2 linked regions of the Arabidopsis thaliana genome follow. The protein of the gene in region 1 interacts with the protein of each later gene in a biochemical or structural test. Each region holds a gene or a part of one and is shown on either strand. Other genes may lie near its edges.

Evidence for each region.
Region 2: of the proteins of ATG13 (region 1) and TOR, one has a biochemical effect on the other in vitro, tested with the Arabidopsis thaliana proteins (one large-scale study listed by BioGRID).

What each region holds. Positions count from the first base shown.
Region 1 is NC_003074.8:18,371,824-18,384,815, reverse strand, and holds ATG13 (Autophagy-related protein 13), read right to left. Parts: upstream 7,338-12,992; 5' UTR 6,925-7,337; coding exon 5,555-6,924; intron 5,506-5,554; coding exon of another isoform or gene 5,492-5,505; coding exon 5,324-5,491; intron 5,031-5,323; coding exon 4,712-5,030; 3' UTR 4,542-4,711; downstream 1-4,541. Other genes in the region: UBP26 (ubiquitin-specific protease 26), read left to right, coding at 1-456, 762-870, 1,088-1,266, 1,400-1,684, 1,762-1,969, 2,230-2,301, 2,759-2,971, 3,209-3,472 and 2 more; LSU1 (response to low sulfur 1), read left to right, coding at 9,097-9,381; LSU3 (response to low sulfur 3), read left to right, coding at 11,864-12,157. UniProt on the Arabidopsis thaliana protein: Involved in autophagy in a nutritional condition dependent manner. The ATG1-ATG13 protein kinase complex regulates downstream events required for autophagosome enclosure and/or vacuolar delivery. Becomes a target of autophagy under nutrient starvation.
Region 2 is NC_003070.9:18,528,728-18,541,719, forward strand, and holds the start of TOR (target of rapamycin), read right to left. Parts: upstream 11,269-12,992; 5' UTR 10,893-11,268; coding exon 10,728-10,892; intron 10,505-10,727; coding exon 10,166-10,504; intron 10,088-10,165; coding exon 10,013-10,087; intron 9,836-10,012; coding exon 9,663-9,835; intron 9,295-9,662; coding exon 9,196-9,294; intron 8,880-9,195; coding exon 8,720-8,879; intron 8,652-8,719; coding exon 8,508-8,651; intron 8,371-8,507; coding exon 8,201-8,370; intron 8,122-8,200; coding exon 7,917-8,121; intron 7,844-7,916; coding exon 7,655-7,843; intron 7,448-7,654; coding exon 7,295-7,447; intron 6,827-7,294; coding exon 6,705-6,826; intron 6,617-6,704; coding exon 6,517-6,616; intron 6,443-6,516; coding exon 6,347-6,442; intron 6,046-6,346; coding exon 5,915-6,045; intron 5,207-5,914; coding exon 5,104-5,206; intron 5,029-5,103; coding exon 4,846-5,028; intron 4,772-4,845; coding exon 4,679-4,771; intron 4,580-4,678; coding exon 4,544-4,579; intron 4,441-4,543; and 28 more. UniProt on the Arabidopsis thaliana protein: Essential cell growth regulator that controls development from early embryo to seed production. Controls plant growth in environmental stress conditions. Acts through the phosphorylation of downstream effectors that are recruited by the binding partner RAPTOR.

The sequences.
Region 1 (12,992 bases):
AACTCCACAATCTGAGAGTAATGGTACGGCTAGTAGTGGGAATATCACAGATGGCATTCAATCAGGCTCTTCAGACTGTAGGTCTGCTATTAAGTCAGAGGTTTTCTCATCCAGTGATGCTTATATGCTGATGTATAGTCTTAGATGCGATAAACAGGAAAATCAGGAAGGACAAAAAGAAAATCCTATTGACATTACTAAAGGAGAAGTTAAACAGCTTAAAGGTGGTTATCTTCCAAAACATCTTTCTGAATGGATCAATAACATGAATGCAGTATTCCTTGAGAGTTGCAAGCAATATAATTTAAGAAAGGAAAAAGAATTGAATGCTTTGACTGAAAGGAGGCAAGAAGTACGGACAATCCTTTCAGAAGCTGCTGTTCAGTCACTTGAAGAACAATATTTTTGGATCTCCACAGATTGGCTTCGTCTATGGGCTGATACCACTTTACCTCCGTAAGTAAAGCTCCTCATACATGCATTTGTTGTTATTCTCTACATACTGCACTGCTTTCAACATAGGATGCATTAAAATCTGCAACAGAATATCATATCATTCAAATGCATCGTCTATAATTTATCAGAATATGATGGCGACTTTGTACCCCACACCAAACTTCTAAATATTGTTTCCCTTTGAAAATTTATATTTTATTTCAGTTTCCAGCTCTAACTGGTAGTGGTAAATATGATTTTCTGTTTAGCAAATCAGATTACATCTTTCAAGTGTTCTTGATTATATTTGTTCTTGTATGGTGTAGCGCTTTGGACAACACCCCTTTACTGTGTTCCCATGGGAAAGTTCATGCCTCAAAAGTGAATTGCATGAAGCGGATATCTGAACTTGCATGGATCAAGTTAGAATCAAAGGTATGCAATGTACTTTGTGTAGCTCATGTGTTAGTTTCTTTCCTTTTTCGGGGCGGAAACTTTATTGATTTCAAGTTTGCATCAGCTGCCATCATTAACTATTTGTCAGAAAAAATTATAGTTTCTAGATTCCAGTAGACAGACTTCTGTTCGACTATCAACATTTTTCTTATGCTATGTTATTATTTCTGATGGAATAATTTTCTCGTATGTTTAGTTCAATGGCGGACCAAAGTTAGGGAAAGGGGACTACTGCAGGGACTGCCTTATGGATGGTGCTCGCATGGTTGTGTCTTCTGACAGTTATAGGGATCGAAGAACATTCATGAAAAGCATAGCAAATGATGTTCTTTCGGGAAAGTGCGAGGACGGAATGTATTATATCTCTAGAGCATGGTATGTGTTCAAGTCTTTTGTAAGTTTGATGCATATGCAGATGGCGCTTTATTTTATGGAGCACTTAATTACTATTATTTTGTGGGGTGTTTCCACAATTAGCTGCTTCTAAAACGTAATAGCATGTTTCCAGGTTACAGCAATGGATAAAAAGGAAAAATCTTGATGCTCCTACTGAAGCAGATGCGGGGCCCACAAATGCTATTACGTGCAATCATGGTGAGCTGATGCCAGAGCAAGCACCAGGGGCCAAAAGAGTTGTAGTTCCAGAGAATTTCTGGTCATTCCTTTTTGAAGATGCTCTAAAAGTGATGTCAGAAGATACTTTGGATTGTACTTGTTTTCCTGTGGACTCCAGCCAATGTTGTCATTGCACAGAGGTACTTTCTGAGGTTGCATGCTTCGAGGATTCACTAAGGTTAGCCATGATTAGTTATTTTTTTTGTTGGTCGTTATACTCTTAAAGATTTTCTTACCTTCTATTTTATGCAACAGAACATTGAAGGTCAAGCAGCGCCAAAATCACGAGAAGTTAGCCACGGGAAAGGGTATACCATTAACGCCACAAAGCCGATATTTCTTGTTGCCTTCTCCGTGGCTAGTGCAATGGAGAATCTATATTAACATGACTGGAAAAAATAGTTCTTCAGCACCAGAGCCTGAACGTCTTGATGGAGTCATTAATACTCTCAAATGCAAAAAGGTAAGATCTGTTGCTCGGCAGTGAGTCGGTTTCCAATTTACTGGCAGTTAGATATTGTGGGGGTAAAGCTCTATGTGGACAGAAGTGATTAATTCTAAATCAGTGTCCCTGACCACTTTCTCTATTTCCTCTCATAGAAATATTTCAATATATGTTAGTAAACGCGGGTGGTATGACCTGTCTTATTTCAGCAGGCCTCATTTCATCCCCCCACTATGAGCATAAAACTAATGGTTTGTTCCTATGGTTGTTTGTTTCAGCATACACGACTCCTTGAAAGGCTCCCTGAACTTGTCTGCAGACGTGGCTCGTATTTTCAGAAAAATCCATCTGTAAGTGCATCATATATACCGTGAGATGATTCCTAATCTATTTTTAAACTGTTTGATACAGTAAAGCCAATATCTGAATGGAAAATTGATAAGTGTTCATCACAACATAGAGAGGCTTCAACAAATATTTTTCATATGAACATAAATAACTTATTTCTGTAGAAGTAAGGATATTATAAATAAGAGATTAATCAAGTGTGGGGAGGTGTCTGTGTGTTTTGAGACTGGTTTTAGAGCTTGGAAGTAAGGTGTCTGATAGTATGGTTCCGTGGTTCTGTGGTGTGATTTTCTTTCAGTGAGAAATAAAGGGAATCATGTTCTGAATTTAACAAATTGGTATCGTGATTGTCGGATTCAGTTTACATCCTCTCTCGTGTTGGCTGTTTATAGCGTCAAACGCAGACTTGGGGAATTCTGATTTTGATCTAATCTCTAGTACTCTTGCACCTTTTTCTAGACAGACAAGCTAACAATCATCCCTGAGCTTGATTGGAAATATTTCTGTGACGAGTGGGGAGGGCTCATGGAGAATGGAATATCTGCTTTTATTGAGGTTGGCAATACAGACCAAAGTTCATCCCCAGACGTCATTGACCTTGAGAAGGATTCTTCTCCGGATGATAATATGGACGTTGATGCTCAACAGCTTATTCTCAGGGCATCCCCAGAGGTATTTGCATTATTATCTTGAGCCTTTTTTTTTGGTCAACATTTTGAGAGTGTGATGTAATATTGAATGGCAATGTTGGCTTAGTATTTCACATTGGTCCATATATGAAGTTCAGATGCGTTACGGTATACTGTTTTTCTTTTTCTTAAAAGCAAGTGTGATCATTTGCATTCACATTTATTATTGTATGACTTCATGACTAGAGTTGCATTTAACAGGATCTTTTATTTTCGCTAGATTTGCGAGGAATGCATAGGAGAGAGAGAAAGCTGTGAGTTGATGCAGAAACTTAGTTACTCTGAGGGAGATGTATTTGTCTGTTTTGTGCGTGGAAAGGAAGCTCCAAAAGCAATGTTAGAGGCATCTGACTCTAGCTTTGAGGTGGATCGGCGTACTTCAAAGCGATCTCGGAGAACAAATTATGGAAACCTGACAAGCCTGAAAGTGTCTGCGACAACGACTGTATACCAATTAAAGATGATGATATGGGAATTACTTGGGGTAAGATTCTTTTAGACATAGTGTTTTTTTCGTTTCTGTAGATAACTTGAAGAAACACAACAAAACGGGGTTTCAATAAAATATGCAGGTGATGAAGGAAAACCAGGAACTCCACAAAGGCTCAAAAGTGATTGATCAGGAATCTGCAACCCTTGCAGACATGAACATATTCCCCGGCGACAGGCTTTGGGTGAGAGATACAGAGATGCATGAACACCGCGATATTGCTGGTAACCAAATTTACCATTATTCTGCTGTCTGGTTAGCGAGATGTCCATGTAAAACTATTCATCTTATGTCTTAACAGATGAGTTATGTGAAAAGAAACCGGGGGCTCAAGATATCGAAGAAGGGTTTCGAGGGACGCTATTGACTGGGAATATCTCTTCTGAAGCCTGCTAGAAATTGTAACTTTGTGATCAAAGTGTAAAAACAGAATGCGTGAGAACTGAGAAAGAGTCATTGGACCATCTAGAGGAGGTAAAATATCTTATAAGAGCTACTTTCTCGAAACTAAAATCTCTTCTTATCTGCGGTGGTCTTATGATTTTGTCTTTCTCAGTAGTTGTGCAGGAGACGGACGACACATTTTTTGGGTCAGTTTTTTTGTAAAGGCAGGCAAGGCTTTGGAGCTTTATTTTGTGTAAAAAACAAACGCAAAGATTTGGAGAAAGCTTAGCACAAGCTGAATTTGTGTAGATGCAAAGGCTTATTGTGGATGGCTATTTGAAGCTGACTTTTGTGTGTGTGTTTTTGGTGTACTTTTTATCTAAATGGGCATTGCGTTTAAAACTCTTCTCTCTCTCGTTTTGTGCTGCACATCTTGTGACCTTATACCCAAATAGCTTGTTATCACAGTAGGAACTATCATGCATCCGATCTCTCTATCAATGTGACTCTTTGCTTCGTTTCACACTCATCTTAAAAGAGTATAGGTGACCGGTTTTCAACATTTGTGTATTTCATGTTTCTTCTAGAAAGAGGTCCAGATGAGAAAACAAGGTTTTCACATGATTTGTCAACAACAACAAAACCCTCAATAAATTTCACTACTTCATAATGAAAAGATTCAAGTTTGATTAGTTTATTTTATGTGCATATTCAAAGGCAAGTTCTTTTACAGAAACCAAAACGTGATTGCTCTTTGGCAATATACAACAGAGTTAAGTATTCGTCATCAAATTCATATCTACAAACAACCATCGGATAACTCATATCTTGATCGCTCTTTGATTTGGCTCAGTGGACGCGAGTTGGTCCAGACCCACTTTTGGATTTGGAGAGAAGCAAGTCTTTGAGCTGTTTGTAGTTTCTCAGTTCCTCTAGTGCATCTGATGTGCTACGAGCCATCGAAAATTCAGATTCTGTACCTGACACTGAACCTTCTCTCTGAACCCCAGACATTGACGCCATATAAGTGCTTGAGTCTTGTCGTAATGGTGGTGCTGTCTTCAGCATGTGAACCAGAACACCAACCGCTGCGTCCTGTGATGATCTTCTCCCTAGAGGTAGCGACTGCGATATAGAGCTTGAAGTTTTCCTCCGGTCAAGACTATGGCTGCATCGAAAAAATTGCAAAATATCTGTCATTTTCTTACTACCAAAGACTAAAAAACCCAAGAAGAAGTGAACTTGACAGACCAAAAAATGATAAAGAAACAGTAAGAGAAAGGCCAAGTATAGAGTGTGAATGCCAACAATTTCACATTAAACAAAACAGCCAACACATTAGTGTTTTCTTCATGGCATCTTGTCATTGACCAGCTCTATGTGTAAAGATTTCTGTAAACTAATCCAAGTATATAATATTTCCTTTGAATGATTCAAGTTAGGTAGTGGGATAAAGCCAACCTGTACTGAAGTCCTGACTCATCAACATCATCGAAATCAAAAGGGCATGAACAATCAGGGTCATCCAAGTCGTCTTGGGAAGATAATCTACTGGGGCTCCTAGAAAACGCGAATCTTGGTGAGTCACTCGAAGACAGAACTCCTGAGAAGCGGCCTGAATCGTATTTGCTGTCCTTTGACAGCTGAAGAGTAGATATAAATAAATCAACAAAATATCAGATGAGGCAATACAAAATATAGTGATATTTTTCTTGCATTGAGCAAGACACATAAGATGTAAGAAGCATAACCTTTTGAGTAGGGTACTGGTTCATTAATCCAGAAGGAGACTCTCCGCTTCTAGAACTCCTGTACAACGCAATCCCAGGCAAAGAGTCCTGCGATGAAGGGGAGCGTCTTGTGCTTTTGGGGGAAAAAGGAGGAAGTGGATTCCTACCTGGCTCAGAGAAGTTAGATGAAACGTATCTATTTAACGTGGCTGAAGAAGGAATGGTCACTGGAGCAGTCCCTGGTCTCACATTAATGCGCGGACTGTTACCCCCAGATATGTATCTTGGAGTAGATGGAGAACCCGATGGTGAAAAGGGAGGTGAAAGCTGGTGATTGTCACCAAAAGCATCTGTACGTGACCAGTGGAAATCGTGTAACCCAGGTGACAACTGATGAGACTGAGCTGGCGAAAAAGATTGGTTCGGTGTTGCGAATTGAGCTGGAGGTCTGTGAAAGCCGCTAGTCCAGCTATGCGGACGTTCTGCAGATGAACCAGTCAATGGAGGCCGACCAGCTCTACCAGTAAAGGAATGGCCTTCAACACTTCTCCCTGGAGAAGGGAAAAACCTCATAGGATCTGTTGCAGGACTTCCCACATAATCAGTTATAATCCTCGGAGGCAATGTGATATGAGCACCGAGATTAAAATCAGATAAGTCAGAACGGTAAGTAACCGATGCACAAAGACGACCAGGAGGCACTTCAACAGGAGCAAAACGAAACTCTTTCATTGTTTCCGTCACAGGACCAGAGAATATGTCACTGAAAGATGAAACCTTGTAAATCAAATCATAACCAGAAGAAGCAAGAGAAGAACTCAGCTGCCTAGAGACACGATAAGCAGGAAGAAGCCGAGTCTGTGCATAAAGAGACCGCAACAGAATGATAGATTTCTTGTAAACCTTCTGGTAACGCGTTGCAGAGTCAGAACTCTGAGGAGACATAATCAAAGGATTCTCATATTGAACAACCCAACGCTCAATCACAGTCTCAGCTGATCTAACAACAGAATCACTATGATCATCATCATCATCCAAATTATCGTTTGAAATCGGATGGACAAGAATGATATCAATAATCATAGAATCCAGAATATTCCTATGCCAAGAATGCAATTTCTCCAACGCAGCAGGACGATCTCCCATCACAAGATTAAACCATTTGTCACTTTTTCTAACGTTAAGACCTGATAAACGCTCACGAGTACGACCACGAGATTGCAACGAAGGGATTCTGGAATTAAGAACTATGTGTAATGCTTTTGGGAAGAAATGAGAAACAATCTGCTCTAATCTTCCTATATCTGAAGGCAAATTCTCTGGAAAATCCATCTTCTTCACACAAATCCCTAAATCGAAACAATTCTAAAAATATCTCACACAAATCCCTAAGAAATATCCAAATCCGAAACTGATCTATGAGAACGGAGATCACGAATCGTTGTTTTGGGAGAAGGATCTAGAAATACAAAGCTTAAGATGATTAAGGTGATTAAGAGATGAAGAAAGTGTAGAGAGATAAATTACAGATAGTTAGGGTTACCGTGAGGAAGAGAGTTTGATAATAGAAGCTTTTATGTGAAGATCTGAGACGTCAACGATGGCGTGAGTGTGTTTTACACGCAGATGACGATGATGATGATCAACATAAACAAAAAGAGTTTCAGAGGTAGAAGAAACACACACGATCACGATTTGAGAACACTGTGAAATTACTAATTAAATTAATATTGAATTCAACCAATGATAAATAGCCACGTCTTTGTTCTCTTTTGTTTTTCTCGTTTTACCCTTATCTTGTTGCCTCAATTACAGGAGACAATAGGTCTCGTTAATCTTAATGTACTATACTGTGAAATTACTAATTAATATTCGACTCTTGTGAATGCAGCCAATGAAGAATAGCCACGTCCTTGTTATCCTTTGTTGAATTTTTGTTTTCTTCTGGTTTTACAGGAGACAAGACAATAGGCTCTTAATGTATACAGTGAACCTGAATCTCACGCGCTTTTTTGGTAGAGAAGGTGAAGCAAATGCGCCAAGTCGGATGTTTAAGTATATGGGCTTACTGTTTAAGCATTAGGCCCAACATTTCTAGATAATTGGAACACTTTTTTTTTTTTTTTGTAAACCAGATAATATGTATTTGCAATCATCACTATGGAATGAGTTCAAAACCATTGGTTTTTTGAAGTTATGGACTACGTAGCTAACATTTTAAAACCTACAGATTTTTATTTTATTTTAAATGTTATATGTTATATTGTATCATTACAAGAGAAAGCGATTCTTACAATGTAGTTTAGTCTTCTAACAACTGTTATTATTACTGTTGTGAAAAATATGTATTCAAACTAACATACTGCATGTTATCAACAAATGTATAAGTTGTAAATGTCTATTATATATTCTCTATGTTCCTAAAAGAATGATGTTTTGGGTTTTTCACCCAAATTAAGAAAATTAACTTTTATGTTATTTATATTATTTTTTTGTTAATTTAATAATATAATTTCTACTTCTTTCCTCTCTCTATTAGTCATTAATAAAAATAATAATAATATTAACCTAAGAAATCAATTTTTATGGAACAAAAAAAAATCTAAAACATCAAATTTCATGGAACAGGAGAAATATATTTTTGGTGATAGTACACTAATTTTCTATTTTATAGTGGTTGTAGATGTATGATGTCGTGAAATATCCCATAATAGTTCTTCAATCATAATATAAGTAACGCAATATTAAGCGGCAGCGTTTTCCCAAATTATTAACTTGTTAGTTAATAATCTAAAGAATAAATCCTTGTCACAAACTCACAATATCACAAGAAAGTGAGAAACACTATAGTGATTGGCTTCAGACGTCACCTATTTCAAGCCCTACTAACTCAATAATGTAATCAATATATACCACATACATACATCAGAGATCAGACCAACACATTTTTATTACAAATTTGACGGACCAGAGATTTATAAATAATTAAATTGAATTTGTGTAAACCACGGCATTAGAATTATTAATTACTATTCTATTTACACGTTAACATATATTTATCCATTTATCAATTTATAGTTGTATAGACGGCAATTTGTTTATTAATTTTAAAGTTAAAACTAGTTAATAACATGGATAAACCGGAAATTTCGAAATTAATTTGGTTTAAGTTTCATATAAAAAATATTTAAATCGAACCTAGCGAAACTGTGATAAAAAAACGAAAAAAAAAAATTGAACATTCGAAAAAAATAGTAAATTTTCTCTTTTGGGGTGGTCTATGCATACATAAGCCATGAGTATGTTTAAGTTTCAAGTAAGGAGAAAATATTGACCGAAATCAAAAGTGAGGAGAAATAAAAATCAAGAAGCAGATACATTGAACCTGGACATGCAAAAGCTACACAAAGCGCCTATTAAAGAAACATAATCAAACCCTAACACTCAACAAATCAAGAAACAAAGTTAGAACCACAATCAAATCCTTTTACACAAAGAATCTTAATGGCGAACCGAGGAGGATGCGTGACGGTGGCGGCGGAAGAGATGGATGAGCTAAGGAGGAGGAACATAGAGCTCTCGAGAGAAGTGGCGGAGATGAAGACAGAAATGATTAAGTTGTGGCAGCGAACGGTTGTGGCGGAGGAGGCGGAAGAGCAACTCTGCTCGCAGCTGGCGGAGCTGGAGGTCGAGTCTTTAGAACAGGCACGTGACTATCACGATCGCATGCTCTTCCTCATGGATCAAATCTCTCGTCTCTCTTCTTCTTCTGTCGTCTCTTCCTCGTAGAATAAGATATTTCTCATAAGTTATGTATAGTTGTGTATGTGACAATCACTATACATGTATATAGATCGATGGTAATATGTTATGTTTTCAACATAAATTAAATGTTTGAATCCATTTCTAGTGAATAAATTAGAATTTCTGATAATCATACAAATTGTTGAACTCCATTTCTAATGAATTAGTATTTCTGGTACTAGTTGCATATTTTGTCTTGACTTTTAATTACAAAAGTTCTTATGGAAGCAAATAATATTTTGGAATGATACCATGTTTAAGTAATGAAGTAATAATATATGAGTGAGATCTAATGTCAATCTTAACTATCAAAATAATTTTATGGAACTAGTAGGTATTGGAGACTCGAAGGGGATCGAAGAACTTTGAAGTTTAAATTCCATGAAATCCTACATTACCATAATTTTCAAAGGAATCGTAGAAGAGTTAATTGAAACTTGAGTGTAGAAAAAAATAAAGGGTTTTTGGGTACATGAGTTTCATGGAAATTTTCCACAACTTCAGGATTTTTTTTTTGTGGTCAATGGAAACCGTAGGAGAGAATGGTTCAATGATTTTTCTATGGAACCATAACAATAGTCTTTAGGGGACGTGAAACATGAAATTGTGTAAGTTTTCCATTGGTTCAAGGGTCATTTTCTGTTTCTATTTCATTTAATTATATATTTATTTTGTTAATATAAAAAAAAATCATTTAAAATAGTATGAAGATATGTGGTGCTGGCAAATTAAGAGGAATATTGACATTCGATTTTGACGTGATTTTGTTTGTTTTGCTGTTAATTAACTGTTTTGATCATAATAAATTTGAGATAGTATCCGTTGACGATGAGAATATGCCATGCGTAGATTTAAAATTATTACCATTTCTTATTTAATCAACAACGGTACCGGAGTAAACCATGCCTGCCAAAAATGAATTGAAACTTCAATTGTTTCAAGAAAGATGTGTGTGTGTGTGTTTTTTTCATTCTAAACAAAGTTGAACCAAATTAGAATAAATTAAACCGAAGTGAGCCAGTATGTAATTTTGGAAGACTAAACCGGACAAGAAAGCAGATACATTGAACCTGGACAGTATAGGAACTCAATCAAATTGTATGGTCTAAAATGTGATCATCCCACGCTCCGAATTTGTTCATGTCGCAGCTTTTTTTGGCATTTTGTAATAATTGGGCAAACGATTATTCATGATTTTTTTTTCTTCTTTGGCTTTTTTCTTATGCTACTTTATCCCTGATTTTGATATCTCTTGAAAAGAAGGATCTACCATTATTGGAATCATTTGTCTACGATATCGACTATCGAATTTGACTGTTTACAAAGCTATAATTCTTTTGATATCGGGTGACCAAACTGTAATTAATTAACTATAGTTCCATGAACAATTTAGGAAATAGAGATAGCTTAGACTTTGGCCTAGATTAATGGGTTTAATGACTAATATTGGTGGATTCAAGAATAATGAATTAGTAGGAATAATCGTTACGTGTTTCATTGGTGCGACGGCCATTGACTTGGGATAAGTAGAAGTGGTCCACTGGAGGCACGAAGAAATGGGATATGACAATTACATCGACGTGATTGGTGACGTCACCCATATGTATCTCCACGACGTTCACCGATTCCTAATATTCAACTAATTCGCATAATACTAATTAACGTCTTAATATGATTTTCTAATTTTTTGTGTATCTAATAATTATGGTGATGATGATAAAAGAAATTTGACATCTTAATAAGCTATTAAGGAATATAACTATAAGATTTTTGCCTAATCACTATGAGCAAATTATATGAAAATTTTGATAGAATATGAGATTTTCTCTTAAATGTGTCAAATTTGGGATATAGGATACATATCTACAATAGGCCAGATATACTTATACTATCATGCATGGATATGTATGTACTGATGTTGCATTTTCTAGATTAATGTAATAAAACAGCCCCCAAAAAACATTTTAAACCTATTAGGTTACTAGTATATATATCTAATTAATATTCGTCATCATTAGTGTGGTATATCTTTGTGTATTTGATTTTGTATAAATAATTATCTACTTTTGTGTGTTTACATATTAGTATAATACTAGTTCATATCTAAATTATATATTTTCTGATAACGATACCTAATTTATATTTTAATCTAAATGTTTTTTTTTTTAATGTTAAATATTGCTTGAAGATAATTCTAGATGCAGATATTCAAAAGGAATAAATTATTGTGATAGTCTTGCATGATATGTACCACGTGCAGTAGACAGACAATGATGTCGACAAAAAAAAAAAGAAGAGAACACGAGATACATTGAACCTAGACACTTTGCAATCCCAAATACCAAAACTCAAAATATGCCTATTAAAAGGACCATCAACACATAGAAGAGAATTTAACAGTTTAACACAAGAAGCAGCAAAACCACCTAACTCAAATTGTTGTCTATATACAAGAAACATAATCATAATGGGAAAAGGAGGAGGTTATGTGACGGTGGCGGCGGAAGAAGTGGAGGAGTTACGGAGGAGGAACGGAGAGTTGGAGAGAGAAATGGAGGAGATGAAGAAAGAGATGGTTCAGCTGTGGCGGCGTACGGTGGTGGCGGAGGAGGCCGAGGAGAGACTCTGCTCGCAACTGGCGGAGCTAGAGGTCGAGTCTTTAGATCAGGCGCGTGACTATCACTCTCGTATAGTCTTTCTCATGGACCAAATCTCTCGTCTCTCTTCTTCCTCTCTTGAAGTCGTTGTTACGAATTCGTAGATAGATTAATTATTATTTTGTCTTTAGCTTTTTTTTTTTTTTTAATTGTGGGATCCAAGTAGTTTAATGTGTTAAAAAGATATGTAAAGAAATTTTGCATAAGTATTACAAATTTTCATTTTCTTCATAATCCTTTAAAATTATGTCCAGAAAAAAGTGTTTAACCATGTTGACAAAAATTTGTTTTAGGGGAATTTGAAGTTATATTTCCTCGAATTCATGCAACATTTGTGATTGCAGAGACGTCTCAGAAAGTTTTATTCTTTCGTGGTCACGCTTATTGTTCTAATGGAGATATTTTGATATAGGAAATTAATATTTTCCTTCATAAAAACCGCATTAAAAAAAAACGTTATTGTATTCATGTAACTTTAGTGATTACGACATAACAGAGACGTCTTACGAAGTTTCTTCTTTCGTGGTCACGCTTATTGTTCTTAATAAAGGAGAATTAATGGAGCTTCACATCAACAGTACAAATTAGGTAGAAAGAGAATCAAATAATTTAACAAGAGTTGATCGAATCACTTTGGTGATTGGCCAATTGTATGAACCAAAATTTTATCGAGTCTTGATCTTAAGCCAATCAACTATACATAATATAAACATCTTATTCTCATACAAAGCATATTTCATTTTCGTTTTATTCAGAACCTATAATCCAATTTGATTTGAGACGAACTACTCAATTTTTTTAAAGATAATCAAACATTGGTAATAGAAACAGAAGTATCTAACAAGAGCTCTTCATGGCAATAGCAGCTAAAAGTAAAAGGCATTACATATGTGTTTGAAGATCGTTACCATCAAAACATATTTGATTAAACAACATGGC
Region 2 (12,992 bases), on another chromosome or scaffold:
TATGGTTGCAAAAAGACATTATGTAACCATGTAGCTATATCACCGAATGTAGCATAAGTAGAAGTTACCAACCATTGGTGCCATTTCCAGACGCGCAGATGGCTCAGCAGGACTCCAGTACTCTTTGCAGAGATTGTTGAGCTCTTCCCATCGTGCAAGTGCAGCAAGACATCTCATTTGTCCTACAACGTGGTAAATAAGCAATAGAATCAGGCCATTTCATGAAAAGAAAAGAGAAGCATCATATGAATTTTAGACTGGAAAAAAATGCGTTGATCTGTTGTTCTGCTAACTTGTAAGAATGTTATGAACCCACAGTTCTCTATGAACTACTAACAGAATACCGACAAAAAAATGCCAACAGAACTTAGAAAAAAACATTATCGAAGAAAAAAACCCACTAAATCCTCCCAATATTAGTCTTGGTTACCACAAACCTAATGTGGCTTCTAATACAAGATGAGGATTTGTTGTTTGAGATGCTTTCAAAGTGTACGCCTTGAGTGCATCGTCCCAGCGCTGCAGCTTCTCATACCTAGAAACAAACACTGTTAGTGCTTTTCCACTGATTAGGATCAAAGAATGGAACCACACACAATCTTGTGACGGAATGCCTATCAAACAGAACTGAAAATAAGTGCATCATGATTCAGAAAAGCCATGTTACCATGATTCTTTTAATTGCACATCAAGATGTTGTTGAGCATAGGTTAGTATACCGACAGCAGCCTATACAAAGAATTCCAACCAATCAATAATAACAAATATCAAAGATGGTCGAAATAGGATACAAAATACAGTGTACCTCATGCTGGTGTAACTGATTATTTATGTGTATAAGAGCCTCGACAACAGCAACTGGGTTGGCATCCATCCTCTTGGATCGTGGACCTTCAAATTCCATCTCTTTATAATGCAGAGCTTTGGCAAAAACACGGCACTACAAAGTTGGAATATTGCACATTACCAAGAAAATCAGATGAATTCTTGATACGCAAATGAAAAAAGTACCAAATCTAATTTAACTAGCAAATACATAACGCAAACCTTTTCAGCAAGAGCCCCCAGAAGACGAATATCAATGGGAAGAGGCTTCTCATCATGTTCCATAAACTCTGCCTAAGAAGAGAAATAATAAAATCAAGCACAAGTGACAGGACCAAGCAACAGGATCACACATAAAGGTAGGTTGATATTGATTCTGAACTTATGATTGTTTATCCAACCTAAACGTAATATAGATTAAACGAAGTATAAGCAGATATTTGGATTATAGTGTTAATATTAGATTAAATAAAAATTACACGTCATGTTTCCATGTACACTCACAGATCGTTTTGTTGATGGTTTTAGCAACAAAAAACGTGTTTTACATAGAAAGATTAACAGGTGCAACCGCTAAAGAAATGGTGACCTAAGAAGTTTTTGTTTCCAGTCTTGGAAAATGTAGTCAACTCATAACAATCGCCTAAGCTAAAACACAAGCACTCAATAAGCACAAGCATAGCCACAGGAAACAAATTTGCTGTTCGTTATAGCCAGTGACTCAATCAAAGGTCTTTATCATGTTTAAGTTTTCTTGTAATGTAACAACGAACATACCAAATTGAGTAGTGTAGCTAAAATTTCTGGAGGGATATTTGGAGATGAAAAGGCCATTTCCAAGCTCCTAACTAACTGCTTTTGGCTAGACTCGTTTAGCTGTGCCCAGCAACTGACAAAGCCAGCAGCAAACAACTCTCTCCCGACAAATGGCTGCAAAACACAATCATTAAAATGCACCCTTTTGAGAGAGGAAAAGAAAGAGCATAGATGAAACACCTGCAACTGAGCAAGTTTTGCACAAGTTCTTAATGCTGGAGAGGGAGACTCCTTAAGTAATTCAATACTAAAATGTCTCATCCATTCCTCCCAATCTTCTTTGGTGCTGCGTTGAGAAGCTTCTCCAGCTGTCCGTAGTCTACCATCATTAACCTGTTCAGCAGATCATCAAAGCCATGAGTGAAAGTTTTAGCTCTTTCAAAACTAAGAAAGAACCAAATAAACTTTACTAGAGGATCATGTTAAATCAAGCCCATATATAGTTTTATTTGTTTTTAAAAGCTGAATGTCCATGGAGAAGAGGAAATATAGAGGACATATTTACAAACTCATTGAAGCAAATGGCTCAGGACCAAGACTAAGCTTCAATGAATGAACGTTGCTATAGATAAACCTACCCATCATTTAGATAGGAAAAAGAAAGAAAAAAAGATCCGCCTTATTCAGCTAAGGAACCCTACAATACACCCCATGTTTGCCTCAATGAAGTCATACTAATAATGACTATGCCGACCAGAAATTTTGTACAATGTTAGAGTAAAATCATGATTTTAACTTGAAACTTGATAACAAAATTTTCACACATTAAGAATCTATATGTGATTATATACGACACAGAAAAGAGTACCTGATGGTTTCTGTCAGTTCCTTCTTCGAAAGGATCGATCTCATTCTCAATTACAGGATCCCTGATAACCTCAACTGGCAGTCGCCTACTTAATTGTTGGGTTGCAGTTGTAGCTACAATCAATGGTTCACGTCTCCGCCAGCGAGCATGAATTTCCTCAAATTCTTTATGCTGAAAAAATGTTGTACAGTGAGATTTTACAGACAGAAGTTCACAAATGACATTTATAATACATGACAGATAAATTTTTGCTGCTATTTTTATTTAAAAGATAGTAAAATGCAAGACCCGCAATCGATGCTTCAATAAAAGCTTGTGAATTGATTCAATGAATATGGTGAAGTCCTCTCCAAGTGCATGAGCCAAACAGCATAGTGCATCGACAGCATCTTTCCGCAACTCATCATTCTTCCTGCGATTACAGAAGATATACCCCATAAGAATATTTATACGTACGAAACTGAAATCACGAGTAAGGTTTAGAAAAACGTGAAATGAAAATCCACTAGAAAACAATTGGGTCCCATCAATAATGGCAGATAAAATCCCATGATATTAAGAAATGTAACTAACATCTGCGGAGTTCTAATAACAAATACATGTGGCCAGAAAAAATTGTAACTAAGCAATACAAACAACTTATGGAAAACAGATTTGTAACAGTAACAATGACGGATTGAAAGTTAATGAGATAATAATAATTCCATCCTTTTTGATAATGCATTGTCAACCATTTAAGAGAAAACCAGATAGTGACACAATGCCTAAGTTTTGAAGAAGTATTGTAAGAAAACCCTTAGGAAAAAGTAACCAATATACTGTTTTTCAGATAGTGACAATCAGTATAACTCACCCATCTAATACTAGCTTCAAGTGATGCACGAGAGCGGAGATATGACCAGTAACCTGAGGATATATACGGATAATTAAAAGTATTACAAGAAGCTTAATATGGAATTTTTTCTGGATCAGCAAAGGGAAAAAAAAAATCAAAATAAATAACCAAAGCTCCTAACCTGAACACACGGGATTACTCTTGTCAAAGTTTTGATGGCATCGCGTCTTATAGCTACAGGAGCATCTACTTTAAACAATCGAATAAGTGCCGGAAGGAGTAAATGCATGTGCTCATCAAGAGTTCCTGCACATAAGGACTCTAAGGGTCAACCATCAGAGTGAAATCTGGCCATGGTGAGAAAATGGAAACTACAGGAGTAAACAATCTGACTATTCAAAGAACCTATATACCGAAAAAAAATTGGATTTAATAGATAAGAAACAAATATGCATATAATAACGAAACTACTTGTATCATCTTACACTACACAATCTAATAATGTGGAACCTCTTTACATTCTTGTAAAAGAACTGCATACGTTAATTACTAGAACTCGCATACCCAAGTAATATAAAATGACTATGAGGATGTCAAAACAAGATAAGTATTACTGACCGCCAAACACTTCGAGTGTGTGGAGAATATCAGGAACATAGGTGTAATCATTAAACCGCTCGGCGTCACCTAATACTTGGATGAAACATGGAAGGATGACTGGAAGATAAGTTCTGAATTCATCATTAAGTGCCAAGCAAAGATGTTCCAGTAGATGCAGAACCTGATTATCAGTAAGAGAGGCGAAGTACTCCCCATAAGATATCTGTCCTTAATCAATAAGAAACATAGCATACTCTAGGCAGCATACAACTTACCGGAAGACCACGTGATGGGCGTATGGGACCGGGCAAGGTGAAGGATGACCATAGTTCAGAGACTAATGAAAGCAGCTCTGGCAGATACTTGCGTATGTGCTGTACACAGATAACATAAGCTATGAGTTTACACAAAGTCGGTCGTATTTTGACCATAACTGAAAATATTAAGGTGGATATACCTGGCGAACAATGGAAACAAGAGTCCCAAGACCCCACGTAATGAAGTCCTTCAGGTTCTCATCAGATGTTCGAACAGTGTGAAAAAGCTCAGGTAAAACCTTCAAATTCAGAGGTGGAACCAACCCAACAAATTACCACAACGTAAAACAGAGAGAGCATTTATCGAAAAGCTGCCGGAGATACAATATTATTTACACCTACCTTCGGCAAGTAAGGCACGCATCCCAATCCCATTGACTAACCTCGCAAAAACAAAGTAGTGATAAAGTTGTAACCTCCTCATTGCAGTTCCAACACAAGTTTATTTTAAAAAACAGTCAAGATGGTTTTAGTTACCTTGAAAATGATCATCAGAGATCTAACAACCCTTTTGTGGTAACTAAGAAGTGATGCATCTCTAAGAATTCGCATAAGCGAGTTGATAGCAACCTATAACAATAAGGAAAGTAATTGAGCACAATTCAGACTACAAATGAAATATATTCACACAAATTAAGAACTACCGTTGAGTAATAATCCTCAGATGTAGCAAATGACGGCCGGAGTTCGACAGGTAACTCATCAATTGATGGAATAGGTTGACCAGAATCACCAGTGCCGCGAGGAACTTCACCATGTGATCCTGATAAACTTTGTTGGTTACGTTTATGCACATGAGGATCCAAAGCGCCCATAATTCCAAGAACCTGTAGATATAACCACGTTTATCACAAAAATATCTTCTAGAATAGTCTAGAGTAAAACAATTCTCTAGAAACTACCTTGAGCACTTCTCGTCTGGTAGACCACACTAAGTCACCCTTCAGCAATTTCAAGAGTAACCCAAGCAACAATGGGTATTCCTTGTATGGAGTCACAACATACCTACGTTCATAATGAAATTAGAGCCGTAAATAACATGCAGGGAGGATTGTAAACTTCTGGAACTCCCTTCATTTTGTACTAGTTATGTGCACAATAATTAGCACATGTCCCAAGCTACTAAACAGTAACATGCAAGTTGATCACCGCACTGTCTACAAATGTCTACAACTTCATAAACACCAGTGATACAGTTGATTAAATCTAGGCAGCATAATATCCTAGGTATTGGTAAATCAATCCTTTCGCACGACAAACAGAGAATACAACTCATGACAAGTCCGGACACAGAAAGGCAATATTCTTTCTCCGGAATAATGAGCCATCTCAGGAGAGACGGAAAAAAAACCATCACAAAGATCTACCGCAGATAGAAGAACTAGCTAGGGATAACAATATTGTCATTTCATATAGAATTTTCTCACTTTTAGTAGGTTAAAGGATAAACATAACACATATGTATACATTAACACATAAACAGCCTAAGGATAGCTCAGGCTTCTACCTAGCTAATAAGAAGAGATGGAGGCCCCGTTTGTGTCAAAAAATTCACTTAGAATCCAGTATTTTCATCTAGTCCAACCAGGCTTTCGCCAATCAAGATAGTAGCATTGTCTTAGTTTACAAGAAAATTAGCATGTTCAAAATTGCCTAGTAGCATTATCATATAAAACAAGAAGAAAGTCGTAAAAGAAGGTCAATATCTCATACCCTGTACTTTGAACAACTTGACCAAGAGTAGAAACAGCCACCTCACGTTTTGCTACAGCAGCTCCATCCATTAAAGCTTCAACAATTAAAGGCATCAGCTCCGGAATATATTGTCTCATTGCCAAGCCACCCTGAGCAAGCAACGCAAAAGAAAACCAGGAAGGGAATATCTTAGCCAAACACAATAAATAACAGGACAGGAAAGGAAATAAAAGTACCAACATTCTGTTAACTTAGAGACAACAAAAAATACAATATTAGATGCCGGCCAGGGCATTGAAATTTGAAATACGCTTAGCCAACACAGACTTAGAACACAGATAGAAATAGTCAAAAATCAGACTGCAACTTTAACGCGCAGCAAAAACGCAGTTATGTTTGAATCGACACTTAATATAGAATCTAAAACTTGCCAATTATATTTCAACTTACCACTCTTGCAAGATCCCCAACAGTTACGAGAACTCCAGTGACAATATTATTGTTAGCATTCACTCCAGTTCCTTCACTAAGTCTCGCAACAAGTGCCTAGAAAACAAGAGTTACAACCCCGTGAACAACAATAATAGCCATACTATCTAAGAAATGAAAAGAAATTAAACCTTTTGGACAGGGGCTACGTATGGAAGAATGAGCCGTTCACAATTTCGAACTAAACAACCAAGGAGCTTTGCACTCTCTTCCCTGCACTTGTTATCTGCACTGCTGACATTACAATTGAAGTCAATGCAACAGATACATAATCATAGGAAATGAATCTTCCCATATGAACTAAAAAATTTGTAGTTACCTCAGCTCAAGATAGGTCAACAACTGTATAAGATGGCGACGAAGTGCTGGAAGTACGTATGCTGGATTTTTTTCCGATAACCTTCCAGCAACTGAGATGGCATATTCTCGAACATCAAGGTCCTGTTAAACAGAGATATTGTAATATATGAATTGAAATGGTTCCATTGACTAGGCCAGATACTGTAGCCAGGTGGAGTGAAAGTGTGAAACATAAGCCAAACATTCTATCAAGTTAACAGGGTATCACATGATGCATCCACCAACAAAAGGCATTCATTCCATCCACAAATCATCCAATTAAGTTATCTCAGCTGCACTTTTCCAGTACAACTTAATAAGTAACACTGTTTTGTGACACAATAGAAGCTAATTCATAGACTAAAAGCCCAGCTACGTCTTGGTATCCAAATTTTGATATTAGGGGGAGTAATTAAATACCAACTTCATGAACCCATGAAATTGAATCTCAAAGAGCAATACAATTACAATAATTCACCCAAGAGAGACAAATAAAAGATCGGTAACAAATTAGGACTGCAGTATGACATCTAAGCTGCTATTTTATTCAAACAAATAACACAATCATACCTCATCATTTAAGGAAGCAAAAATGGCAGTCAAACTATCAGCCTGTGCTAGATAATCATCGAAACATTGGTTGCCAAATAAAGCAACGAATATAGATTTGCGAACAGTTACATCAGCATCTGCAACGGCTGTCCTGAGAAGCTTTTCCACAATCTGCAGAACCCAAACATCATTTCTCAGCAAGCAGAAAATTGGAACCGCCACTGGTATTGCAATTATAAATGCCATCACGAAGCATGTTTAACATACTTAAGTTCAGATTTGGAAAATAATAAAAAGAAACCTTTTGTAATGAGAAACAGTGAAATTAAAAGACATAATAAGAAAAAAATGTAATGGGCTTTCAGTATGATATAAAACCTCTTCCACAAGGCGCCTGCGTCTCCCCCCTGCTCGTGTTGACCTGCTCGAGCCAAATTGTGTGATGCCAGAAAGAGAATTTGCAATTAGTCTGCAACAACACAAAGCAGCATCTTTTCTTGTGGCTGCATCCTCATCATCCAAATAAACAACAACTGACTCCCGAGCAAATTCAAGAAGATCATGTCCCTGCCAGAAATCAGAAGCTCAAAGACAGAAATTTCATATTCTTTAGAAAATGTTATCCGCAAAGAGCGCCAACCTTGAAATTGAAACGAGCAAGAGTCTGCAGGGCTAGTTGAACTTGAGCTGAACAACTAGGGTCAGAAGACTGTGGTGCCATGCCCACTGTACTACCTCGGACAATGGTAACAGGAGGCTTTGCTTGAGAATAATGGGATTTTGAAAGAACCAACGAAATGCAATCTAGAAGCCGATCTTGTACTGTTGGCAGCAAAGAAGGAATGCTGAGATACAAAGAATTGTCAGCATTAAACGTATACACATCAATGTATGTAATAACAAACTTCTTTCGTTCAACTTTACCTGATGGTTATCTGGTCAAGAGCGTCAACAAGTGTGGAAGAGAGACTAGATGAAAACATAACATCTAAAAGATCTCGAACATGAGTTTCCACTGTGGATCCCATTGCCTTTGCGATGTTACCAACACAAGCCACAGCTTCAAGCAAAGGTCTGCCTTTACGTGGAGCAATCTACAGGGACAACATAGTCGAACAAAGCCACTTGTCTAGTTCAGTTTTCAAAACTAAAACCCAATATAATACTTTGACACAAAAGTAGTAAAACGTAATTACAAAATAAATAAATAAATAAATAAAATTTGACCCACCGCATCCCGCAGATGAGACATAATTGTCGGCAAATAATGGATAAGCTCACCATCCAAAGCACCAGCCATTTCCCCAAGGGCGATGAACCCACTGGCTCTTTCAGCCGGTATTCTTAACACAGTAAGAATATGATTCATGCATATCTGCAAGAAAGTAATTCGTGTCACGTTTCCAGAAATTTTTTGGTTTTAAGAATCTCTCAGTCACTTACCGTTAAATAGTTTGTCACAAACCGGTCACGGAGAAAGTGAGCAATGCGAGGCAGTAACGAGGTGATGCTAAGGCGAACAAGGCGATCACGATGTTCAAGGTATCTGAGGACAATTTCGGCAACTTCTCTATACCTAGACATCATGAACTCACCTGTATTCCTGCAAACGAACTCTAGCATTAAGCTGTAAACTCTAACACCCAATATGCCATGAAATCAATCTGCTTATAACAGAAAACAACGTAATTTTCGTCGTCAAGAGTCTTTTGTTCAGGTATACACTGAGAGTGGAGGAATATACATGAATTGCCTACTTTTTTAATGATGTAAACTACAATACGAAGACAAACTAACAAAACAACCCGAGCATCATGGGGACAAACAAGTTGTTCTACGGAAATATTCCAGAATCAAACTTGAGTGTCTGACTAAAAGAAAGGGATGCTTTCAAAATAGATAACCACTTCTGCATTTACCTCAACAGCTCCCCCACGGCAAGTAAAGAACCATGAATACTGTGAACCGGAGCATTTCTGCCCAACCCATCCTGTGTAGCTTCAAACATTCGATAGTACCTGTAAAAGCCAAATTGAGAGAAGATCAGTTAATAAAGATGGAAACCCCTATTGATAATTTGAAACATTGCATTGGCAATGATATATATAAATGCAGTAGAAAGTCTGCAAAACGTATCACCATGGGAAGAATATATATTCGAATATCATCCATTTTGGGGGGGGGGGGGGGACCACAGCATAAAAAGCTAATATAAGTTGCATTTACACAATAAAATATACAAAGTAGTACTTAAATGAGGGTGATTGCAAATGAAAGTATTGCAACAACACAAAGAAAAGCCTTGCATCAAAAATATCATACCAAATACATAACCTAAGGAAAACATTTCAGACATTATCATTTTCAAGGATAAGAGAATACTTACCACTGCACTCGCCATCGAGTCTCCCTTTTCTCAATAACACGAAGGCATGCACGCAAAGCTTCAACAGCTCGTTCTCGCACTTGCAACTGGGGGTCCCTAAGTGCAACCCAGATAGCATCCACAAATTCAGGGACATGAACGTTAAAGACAGTAGAAGCATTTTCGGCCATCTCCTGCAATGTTGCAAGAAAACATCCATATCCGTATTAACTTAGGATTGGAAAGTTATCATCACTATCATTTTTCAAACATCTATAATCCAATTTATTAGTTCAGAAGTTTCTTTCTGAGTAACTAAAAGAAAAAATGATCTGCTTATCTAAAGGATCGGGCAGCTGAAATCAGGATACCTTTAATATTAAAACGGCGGCGAAACGACGATATTCCACCCTGTCTACGCGAAGCCAATCAAAAGCTGTTTTCATCTGTGAAAACGAGATCAAGAATTGAGCAACTATGAGCCGAGACAGTGATAGGAAGGGGAGGGAAACAAACAATCTTACCTGAAACTCCACTTCATCAGAAGTCATTGCTCCACCTGCCCGAGCAAGGTGCCCCAAAACTCTACTAGCAAGCACCAAGATTTCAGGATCACGCTTCAACTCGAACACAGTCCTCATGTAACCCGCAAATCTAGAAACCTTAGTAGCATTCTCACCAAATCCAATCTCCGTCAACTCATCAATGGCTCTGAGTGCACCCATGTTTTCCGCCACATCAGTGCTCTCAATTAAATTAGCAATCCTGTCATATAATTGCTCCATGAACCTAGAGGAAGCTTCACCACTAAGATCACGAACTGCTTCCTCTACGTGTTTCCTAAACGCTAAAGGAGCTCCCTCCTAATACAACAACCAAAAATCATAAACAAAGTCGCATACTTGATGGAAACCAACAACAATAGATCAAAACCCACAAATTGCCAGACCTATAAGAACTAAAACTTCGAATTTTCCATTAACCAGAACAGAGAGATTCCGTCAGATAAGCAATAAAAGCAAAAGGGTTATATGGGTTTCTACTAAAGCATAAAAAGGGAGAATACTTTACAATGTTCTTCATTACCTTAGGATTACCACGGCTGCAAAGGTCAGCGATGACACGATTCAAAGTGTCAAAGCTTCCGCCACCAGAAGCGGTGGCTGAGGGACCACAAAAGCGGTGCGATTGCGAAGGGGAAGCCATGGATGCAGGCCGTCCAGCCACAAAAGATTGCGACGAGGTAGACATCGCTGCAGGGCCAGTCCAGCCACAAAAATCTTCCAAAAACCCTAAATCTGACCCCTTTTTGGTTCAACAACACTTGGGCAGAGAGAGAGTATGTACAGAGGAAGATAGAAGAATCTTCAACACATGATGCGTCGAGAACCGAAGATCGCAGAAGAAATCAAGATTTTTTCTCTTATTTTTTTACAAATTCAATTCGCTGAGTGTCTTTTTAGCTTTCTTAGGTTTTGCTTTGTTCTTTCAGAGACCAATTATCTTTGGTAAATAAATTGGAAAACCCGAAAGGTTTTTACTAGGAAAATATGACTTTTTCCTTGGAAAATTGTAAAACTTATGTTTGTCTATCAAAAACTTATAAATACAATATTTTCATTTTTTTTTGTCACTGATTAATTACTTAAAACCCTGAAAGGGTCTTTGTTTGGGCTATGTAATGTTTAGAATGTTTAATATACACTTGTCAAAGAAAAAAAATTACTTGTGAAAAAAAAAATAGTCAAAAACTCATATTTGTTCACTGGACAATAGAATAACTTTTTTTGTCAAGGAATAACTTTGTAGTTTCTTGAATAAGTTTTCTTTTATTGTCATTTCACTTTATTATTATTATTTCCAATTATGCTTTTAAGCAGATAAGGAGTTTTTAAAATGATCATTAAATTGTAGGAAAATAATAAACTATAGTTTTGTTGTAATTAGTAGTCATTACGAACAAAAATAATGGGGAAAATGAAAAAATTCAATTGAATGCATATGGTTAAGTTTGTCAACAAATTAAATAAATAAGAGGAATAATATCTATACAAAAAAATATCGAATATTAGTCAAATTTTGAATAAAAAATGTCAAATAATAGTAGAATTGTAAAATAGTTGTATGGTAATCGATATATCATATATTGAAAAATTGATGAAATGTGAATCATATCATTCAGTTAATTTGAATTGTTTTTCTTTTTTTTGGTATGGAGTGGATTTGAATTGTTAGATGTGATGAAACTTTGTTTTTCTATTCATAAAAATTCTAAATCATAGAAATCATTATTTATTCTCCAATGGTAAATTTTTGTTTTGCTTGTATGTTAAGTAGTATTCATATTCATATGTATAGGAAAAACTAAAGAAATGGCTCCTCCAAAATATAGTTCGTGTTTCTCCGTTGTTACAACGAAAATAATCACAATGATTGTGTATGACAAAATAAGCATTACATTCGAAAATTAAACGAAGCACATCCAACATAAAATTTCAAAAGAGTTGTGGCTTGTGGGAGGCTATAGCATCGCTTGGTTTCATCGTACACATCAAGGATGGTGAATAGACAGGGTCCAAGTGTTAACGTTGCGCAATCCCATAACGTGACAAGAATGTCGGTGAAAATATTGGTGTTCTTTTCTCTCCAAATTAATAAACTACAACTAAGAGTACTATTTAAAAAAGAGTTAAAATGACACAAAATAACTCAATTTTTTATATCATTAACGCATTATACGTATAGAATTTAAATAATAACATATACATTTCCATATAGGATAAATAACCTCATCAAAAAAAAAGAAGAATTTTATTATTAGTTTAGACTTTTTTGTCAATATTAATTTATTAGCTTCTTAAGTTTTATATTATTAGCAAAGGATAATGATGCCAACTATATACATGCGTGCTCCAACTTTTGGGACCAATTCATCTAACCTAAGTGATAAACAGATAGATAAATTATCCACTTCTAACTATTTTCCATCAGCTTATTTCAAAATTTAAAAGCTAAATCATTTCAAATCAAAAAGGTCTTTGGCTTTTTTTTATCCACTGTTCCATTATTTCTCTCTTCCATTAAAAAAACTGCATTTTACAAGATCTTTCAGTTTTTAGAAGTAATCAAGTATCAGTGCCAAAAAAAGCTACATTAAAATCTTACAAATTACAGTATACGACGTATTCCTATTTTCAATCGTTATCTAAGTAGAAATATATTTAATAAAACGTGTGAAATGTCAATAAAACAACAACAAAATGTACATACATTAAAAAGAATTCAAGACCAGCAAAAATATATATACACGTTACTATTTAATCTCTTGATATGTTTCCTGTATAAAAGAAA